2 linked regions of the Danio rerio genome follow. The protein of the gene in region 1 interacts with the protein of each later gene in a biochemical or structural test. Links are inferred from orthologs where the notes say so. Each region holds a gene or a part of one and is shown on either strand. Other genes may lie near its edges.

Region 1 (3,935 bases):
TCACCAGCCAAGATCAACAGAGTGATTTTAAAGAGTGCTGAAAGAATTGGATTGGATCAGCTGTTTAATGGCCTAAATCTTGATGCGTTGCATTCACCGCAAATTTCTGCTAAATGTAAAACCTAACAATGTACACATTATCGCCCAAAGAAGCTCGCCTTTACTAAGTTTAAACTGAAACTGCGGCTCATGACAACAGTACTGCACTGGTGGTCATCTACAGAATCCTGCTCTACCCCGCTTGTATGAGCCGGCTGACTCACTGTTGTTGTTTTTTTCACACAGAGTGATGAAAATCAGAGCATAACGAGACTAAGCATTTACAATGAACAAACCGAAACCAAAACTTTTAAATAGGAGCAGAAGTGAGACTTTTCTTCCTTTCTTTTGTCCATTCTTTCTGTTTGTAAATTAACCAGCATATAAAACAATAGTGCAAAATAAACTTTTCTTACTGCAATGCTTAATTTTTTTGATGCAAACCATACATTTATTTATCATAAAGTAACAGTAGGACTTTTTATAGCAGATAACTCTCACATTCAAAGCAGCAAGAAAATGAGAAATGTTAATCATTCATTGTTAGTATTAGTGTCATCTTCGTCATCAATAATATTTTAGAATTATTAGACATTCATTTTGAAGTTATTGCGCAAATATCAATAAGTCATCTCAGCATTAGTTAGATAGTTGTTTGTGGTTTTTGTTAGTCCTAATTGATGTTGTTTTCAAATACAATAAATCCCTTAATATACAAGTTGCAGTGGTGTTTATTAATTTTTAGTGGGTGCTCCTACATTTTTTTATTTATTCTTTCTTTTATTTATTTATTGTTCTGTCATTTATTTACAGTGTAAAATTCTTTGTTTAAATGTCAAAAACATTCACTTATTTTTAAGCACAAAGAGAGAAATTTACTATTGTTCGTTTTTTATATTATTTTGTGCTTTATTAATTAGCTACTGAGCAGCAATAAATAACACTGTAAAGCAAAAGGAGTTTTTATCTTATTTTCTAAACTGGTGGGGCTTGAAATTAATAAATGCATAATAATTGTGATAACCGTGAAACCGTGATTATTTCCATGACTATAATCGTACAACCAAAATGTATAATCGTTGCATCCCTAATATACACACACACACACACACACACACATATCTGAATTTTTTTATTTATTTTTTTTTTTGGGGGGGGGGGGGGTGGATATTATACAGTATATAGTTTTTGACACTAATATGACAAGATAACAAAATGAGTTTTTGGCACCTAAAGATGCTCTGTTTACATAAGTCCAAAATTCTACAAATATATTTTAAAGGCTATATCTCTTAAATGATTATTGCAAAATTGCAACAACATATGAAATAGGTAACAATTTAGTTCAAGTACTAATTCTTACTATTAACAACTGGCTTATTGCCTGTATATTAATGAGATATTAACTGTTTGGTAGTACTTAAAATACATATTTTGCATCCCTAACCCTACCAAACACATAAAGCCAACTAAAACCTTACTATTAATAAGCAGCAAAGTAGAAGTTTGTCAAACTACAAGTCAAAATTAATGATTTATTAATAGCAAGAGTTTTACCATAAAATGAAGTGTGGCCAATGAATGAATGAATGAATGAATGAATGAATGAATGAATGAATATATGAATGAATGAATTGCAATGTAAAGTTTTGTTATTATTATTTATTTTTAAAGCTCTCACCAAAATCATTTTAAAAGCTAGCTGCAATAGCCACATTAATGTCATGCATACTGTATGTGTGCATAAATGCAAGTATAAATCGCTTTAAACGACACACATTTCGTAGAATGACCCTTGGGGGATTATAAAGGTGGAACCATTACGACGTTTAACCAGAGCAGTCGCGCATGCGCACAAACGGCAGTTTACAGTCACCTAATTCAGCGTTTAAAGCATCCATCATTCATACGATTGGAACCCAAATAACTAACGTTACCTCTGTCAATGGTTTCCACAACTTCAGAAGAAAGTTACACTCGTTATAACTGCACACATAGGATATCCTGTCGAGTTTCCATGACATACTGCCTGCCTTAACTAATTTTCTGGAAAACTTTGGTCACACACACACGCAGCTTACAAAACACCATAGAAAAAGCTCTCAAAGAAAAAAAACTAAACACAACCAAAAGCAAGATTAAGAATGAATTTAACTATCGCTGATATACATGTATTCCTAGTAGTTTGTTAACCGAACTCGTTGTCATACAACCCTGCGTTTTAAACAAAATTCTGCAAAAATAAATGACATTGCAAACATTGACATAACAAAATTCACTGTAACCATACTGAATGAACACATTCATTAGCAGCATGCTAGCGCGCCACTGTAGAAGCAATTAAACACAACTTACGCCTAACAACACCTTTAGTTGCCACAAAGCGCAGTCAAGCAATAAATAAAGTAAGCGAAGTCACTCACATTGTGTGTAAATCCGGTAAGAGCAGCTTCTTTTGAGGACAGATGAGCGACAGACTGTCCCGGTTAGCGGTGACAGATTCCCTCCTCGATGCTGAATATTCCCTTTTCCAAAGCCGCTGTCGTTCCTCTCTGTGTGTCCGGCTTCAGACTGAAGTCCACTGGAATAACAGCGACCTCAACGGTGACACAGTAGCGCTGACTGACACAGGTGGTGTCTCAATACACAGGGTCATGACTGGCAAAATAGTTTGAGTAAAAGCGGCATGCAGTAGGCGAGTGCAGTGGACTTTACATGTACGCGCTACAATGATATAAGTTACTTGACGGGCTTCACTACAAATACATGACGCACCATTATGCTGCCTAGGTAGGGCGCAAACTAATCTTTTAAGACGTAGCCGATACATTGATTGATCTAAATGACACGAATAACTGGTTGTTTACTATAAAGGTGATATAGAATATGTTTTACGAGGAATATTTTAGTTTTAATGACTAAATATATAGTATGTCATGGTAAATTTTACCAGTTCTTATCGCTCAAATCAAGCTGCTTATTAGTGTTATGTAAAAAAATAGTGTTATCATCACATAAAAACATCAAACATACTAAAACAGGTCGTCTAATATTAAAAGTTATCCCCTCAAGCACATTATTATCGTCTTGTGTACACTTTACAACCTAACGTTAAAGCTAATGTTGTTTTCATTTTGGCTAACCAAAAACCTTAAAAGAACGTTCTGGGAACTAAAAGAAGGTTAAGTTAAAACGTTCTGGTGGCTGGAATCAGTTCTTCAAGTTATAAACTGTATTATTGTACTAAAACAAGTCCCAGTTCGTTAACGTACTAGTAAAGTTTAATTCAGGATGGATAAAACTTGCTAAGGGATGAGGAGAAAGTCACAAGGTGCCTACTGGGTTGCCATAGTTACTAAAAGGCGCGCAACTGATACAAACTGAAGGCTCATTAATATTTTATTTGGCTTGTAATTCAAAACGTATAGAAGTATTCCTAAGTTGAAATCTTAAACCACATTGAAAGCAGACTTTGTGTTTGTAAATCTAATTAGGACACCTGATCTCTCACTACGTGTCGCTATATCAAATTTCTAAGCAAAAAAGTTATAACAAACAGTTTTTTTGTGTGTGTTTAAGACTCTGACAACCACTCTTCATCCCATATACGACTTCATGCTGTTGCTTTGGGGTGTTATACAGGTTAACTATAGCCTCCAGCTTGAGTTACGTATAGTCTCACAGAATATCTTGGGATGGAGACAGAGTAGGCCTAATATTCGACATCAGTTTCCCCAGAAACAGCTAAACAAGAGTTTTAAGTCATCTGGTGAGCCTGAAGAAGCTCCATTAATTAGATTTAATGCCACGCTGACTTCTGCATTTCCCAAGAGCATTGCAGACATAAAAACAAACGTGCATAAAGCATGCAAGGTGTACCAGAGCACATTTGCCAG
Region 2 (3,935 bases), on another chromosome or scaffold:
GCACTCATTTCCTCTTGATTAAGTGTGAGATTAAATTTCAACATGAAAGCAAAAGCTAGAAAAAAAGTGTTTTTAAATTGAATAGCATCTCTGTATATGACAAGCAGTTGTTTTTTTTGTAGACATGTGTGAGTGCACCAACCTTAAAGATTCCAACCCAGTCTTTTGGATGTGGTGTGATGAAAGGAGTGAGTGTGTAATGACATTCAAGAGCTGCCTGAGGGAGGAAGCTTTTCCCAACATTCTGGAAGATGACATGGGCGAAGTTGGATGTCTCCATGACAACACTTCCTCCTCCACCTGCAGATGCTCCCACGTTACAGGATGACGACATCGTAAGTGATCTAGGAATGCCTGTGACTGTTCTACCTGGAAGCAGAAGGAATGAAGATTGTGAAGCAATTCTGTTTAATTTACACATTCACACAAGGTAAAACATTCAATTAAATGATCATTACTGCAGAATACACCCCAATAGATATTTTATTTATATATTATTCTGCATTTTTGCTGCTAACTACAAATTAATAAATCAATGCATATTAAATATTAATTATATTCTCCTGTTTTACTCGTAAAAACCAAAATCCATGCACAGCTATTTAGAAATTATTGGTTTCACAGAAACAAAGATGGTTGACGCAGTGGCGCAGTAGGTAGTGCTGTCGCTGATTAGCAAAAAGGTCGCTGGTTTGAGCAGTTGGCATGGATCAGTTGGCGTTTCTGTGTGGAGTTTGCATGTTCTCCGTGCGTATGCATGGGTTTTCTTCGGGTGCTCCGGTTTCCGCCACAGTCCAAAGACATGCGGTACAGGTGAATTGGGAAGGCTAAATTGTCCTTAGTATATGAGAGTGAAAGGGTATGTATGGATGTTTCCCAGAGATGGGTTGCGGCTGGAAGGATATCCGAGGCATGAAACGTGCAGGATAAGTTGGCGGTTCATTCCGCTGTGGCGACCAGGAATTAATAAAGGGACTAAGTCGAAAAGAAAATGAATGAATGAGAAAAAAAGATGAATTATTAGACCTTGTCCCGTTTTTATACTTCATCATTTATTATGATTAACCTATAAGAATGGTGGTGCGGTAGTGTAGTGAGTAGCACTGTCGCCTCATAGCAAGATGGTCGCTGGTTCGAGCCTTGGCTGGATCAGTTGGTGTTTCTGTTTGCACGTTCTCCCCATATTTGCGTGGGTTTCCTGGTTTCCCCTCACAGATCCAAAGACATGCGGTATAGGTGAATTGGGTAGGCCAAAATGTTTGTAGTGAATGAGTGTGTTTGGGTGTTTCCCAGTGATGGGTTGCAGCTGGAAGGGCATCCACTGCGTAAAACATATGCTGGATAAGTTGGCAGTTCATTCTGATGGTGAGTCCCGATTGATAAAGGGACTAAGCCAAAAATTTAATGAATGAATGAATGAATGAACCTATAAGAATCAAGTATTATAAAAATTGTCTACATAAATCTACATTTTAAGTATCTTCTGATTAATTTTAATTTCTGATATGCATGTTTAAATTCTTAGTTCATAGTGTTACTTTAAAAGTTTAAAAATATTGGCGTATGAAAGTCTAACATTCTCTCAAAGTTTTGAATGAATATTCTTCATGTCGCCTTTATGTTTTTGAGGATAAATGTTTAGTAATAATATTGAATATTGAATATTTTACGTTGTCTATGGTACTTTGCCTAAAACATTGCAGCTGAACGAATCTTAGAATGTTCAGAAAACATAACGTTCCCATGTTGGTTGCAAATTATAAAATGGAAAGTTTCCTCAGCATTAATCAAAACAAGAAAAATCTTGTTTAACATATTTTTTAAACATGTAGAAAAGCAGACGTTTACAAAGAGCATTCAGAAAACGTAAAAAGGATGTTATGAAAATGTTATTAGGACATATTTACCTTAGCTAAAACTGTAATGTATAGAAATGGTTTATAAATGAGCTGCATAAGGAAGACCTGCCCTAGTTCAGGCTGGATGGGGCGATGCCGAGTAGGCCTGTATTCATGGAACTGCTGATGGTGCTGTCATCCCTTTCCAGGCCTTTATCGTCGACAGCTAATTTATTTTACAATAATATATATATTCCACCCGAACTGACGATACAAAAGCTTAAAAACGTACTATTCTTTGTCTTACTGAAACATGTCTGTTTTAACCGAAAGGTAGCCTACTGTATATGCAGTTTCTCTTGAATTATGTTGCTAAATAACAAGCCACTGCGGGTTTTAATGATAGTTGCACTAAACGTATAGTAAAATGCGTTCCTTTTCCTATATTATACGCCAAAATTATTACTGCCGGTGACCTTAGAGAATGAGCTAATGAAATGAGTTTTAATCTCTTCACTGCAATCCCAGCCCTAAATACATTGCGATAACAAGCACGCAATTACAAATTCTGTTTCCAAAATTGTCACTATAAATATACAAGTCATCGCTGAATAAATCTATTATACCTGTAATCCATGTTAACTTGAAGATCTGATAACTCTTGTTGTTTAGATTGCTAGTCAACGCAGACTGAGAGCGTCCCTGTCATAAAACTGAACCGGGTGTCAACATGTTTTGGGACCTAGATACGTCATGAAACTTCCGGTAGGTCGCGCTCTGTGATTGGTTTATTTATTCATGTCACAGATATTCTTGTACTACCATTGGTTAGTGGTGAACCCCCACAAAAGAGCGATGGGTCCGACTCTTTCGAGCGAATCTGTGTCCTCTCGAACACTATGCGGTTAAAAGAGACCCCGGTTCACCTTGAATGTTTTACTTGTAAGCTAAGATTCAGTTCGTGAGAGAATCATTTCAGTTCACTTCTAAGGTTTAAAAGGACGATTCGTTTACGAGTTAGTTATTGCTTCATTAAAACATATAAATAGAAAATGCTAAGCGTACACTATCATGGAACTATATGGAAACTGTGATTGAATTGAAAATTGGAACAGTTTAATCAATGAAATGCGTTTTTTATACATTGAATCGAGTATAATGTATGAAAAGCGAGGGTAGAAAATGTAATGCAATTATCGAGCAAAGCAAACAGATCATTTATAAGGCCTCACAAACAGTTGTAGAATTGTTGTTTCATATAAGTTGAATAACGTTACGAGACGAATTAAAGATCTTTAAACAATTTTACAACAGAAAAGAGAACTTCAGAAACCTTATTCATGTACTAGGAAAGGGTCTTTGTATTTTTTCATTTGTTTAGCAACTGTGTTTTGGATTCGGAGCAAAGTGTGGTTGTTCTCCTTTAAGCGCAAGGACAACAAGTTCATACAGTGACCATACATTCGCTTAGAAGTCAAAAACGTCTAGCCATTCTTAATCTTTTAAGTAGTATCTCCTTAATTCTATTCAAAGAAATCACAGCATGAATGCGGGGAGAAACTCCATGATATCTGAACGACGATCTCGATCTAATTGGTTGATAATCAAATCCGTATCAGTGATTGGTGGAAGGGAGATGTCAGTCATAGGACCCGCCCCCTGTGTTCCTGACTCGTACACAACTGTCTCTAGGCGCTGAGGTCAAGGGGAATAAGCATGGCCGCTTTGTTTAGAGGGTATCGGAATTTTTATAAAAGAAGCAATAAACATGTGGAGCTCATATTGGGTAGGTCATTTCCTCATTAATCGTCTGTTGACAGACTAAGTTGATAAATACGCCGTTAATGTTATTGCAAAGAGTAACTTGGTTCGGGAATTTAGATTTTTCTTTTTTTTTTATTTTGTTGTCAGTTTTGTGCACATACGTGGAGTATGCTTGAGCATGTCTGTAGAAATATATGATCAGGCATTGTGCACAATATGCAATGCACTGTTTACTTTTTAAGCAATACAAGTTGTGCAATCCAGTTGGGGTTTAGGAGCTCATAGCTTGCATATTATAGTTAAAATGTTTCTTAAACTGTAAACTATTAACCA

What was found.
Region 2: the proteins of myo6b (region 1) and tax1bp1a form a complex in vitro, tested with the Homo sapiens proteins (5 studies listed by BioGRID, with this or other methods). The link is inferred for Danio rerio from reciprocal best matches to the Homo sapiens genes MYO6 and TAX1BP1.

What each region holds. Positions count from the first base shown.
Region 1 is NC_133192.1:38,705,482-38,709,416, forward strand, and holds the start of myo6b (myosin VIb), read right to left. Parts: upstream 2,613-3,935; 5' UTR 2,463-2,612; intron 1-2,462. UniProt on the Homo sapiens protein: Myosins are actin-based motor molecules with ATPase activity. Unconventional myosins serve in intracellular movements. Myosin 6 is a reverse-direction motor protein that moves towards the minus-end of actin filaments.
Region 2 is NC_133194.1:21,855,725-21,859,659, forward strand, and holds the start of tax1bp1a (tax1-binding protein 1 homolog A), read right to left. Parts: upstream 2,578-3,935; 5' UTR 2,465-2,577; exon of another isoform or gene 1,908-2,464; intron 370-1,907; 5' UTR 335-369; coding exon 143-334; intron 1-142. Other genes in the region: hibadha (3-hydroxyisobutyrate dehydrogenase a), read left to right, coding at 3,555-3,624.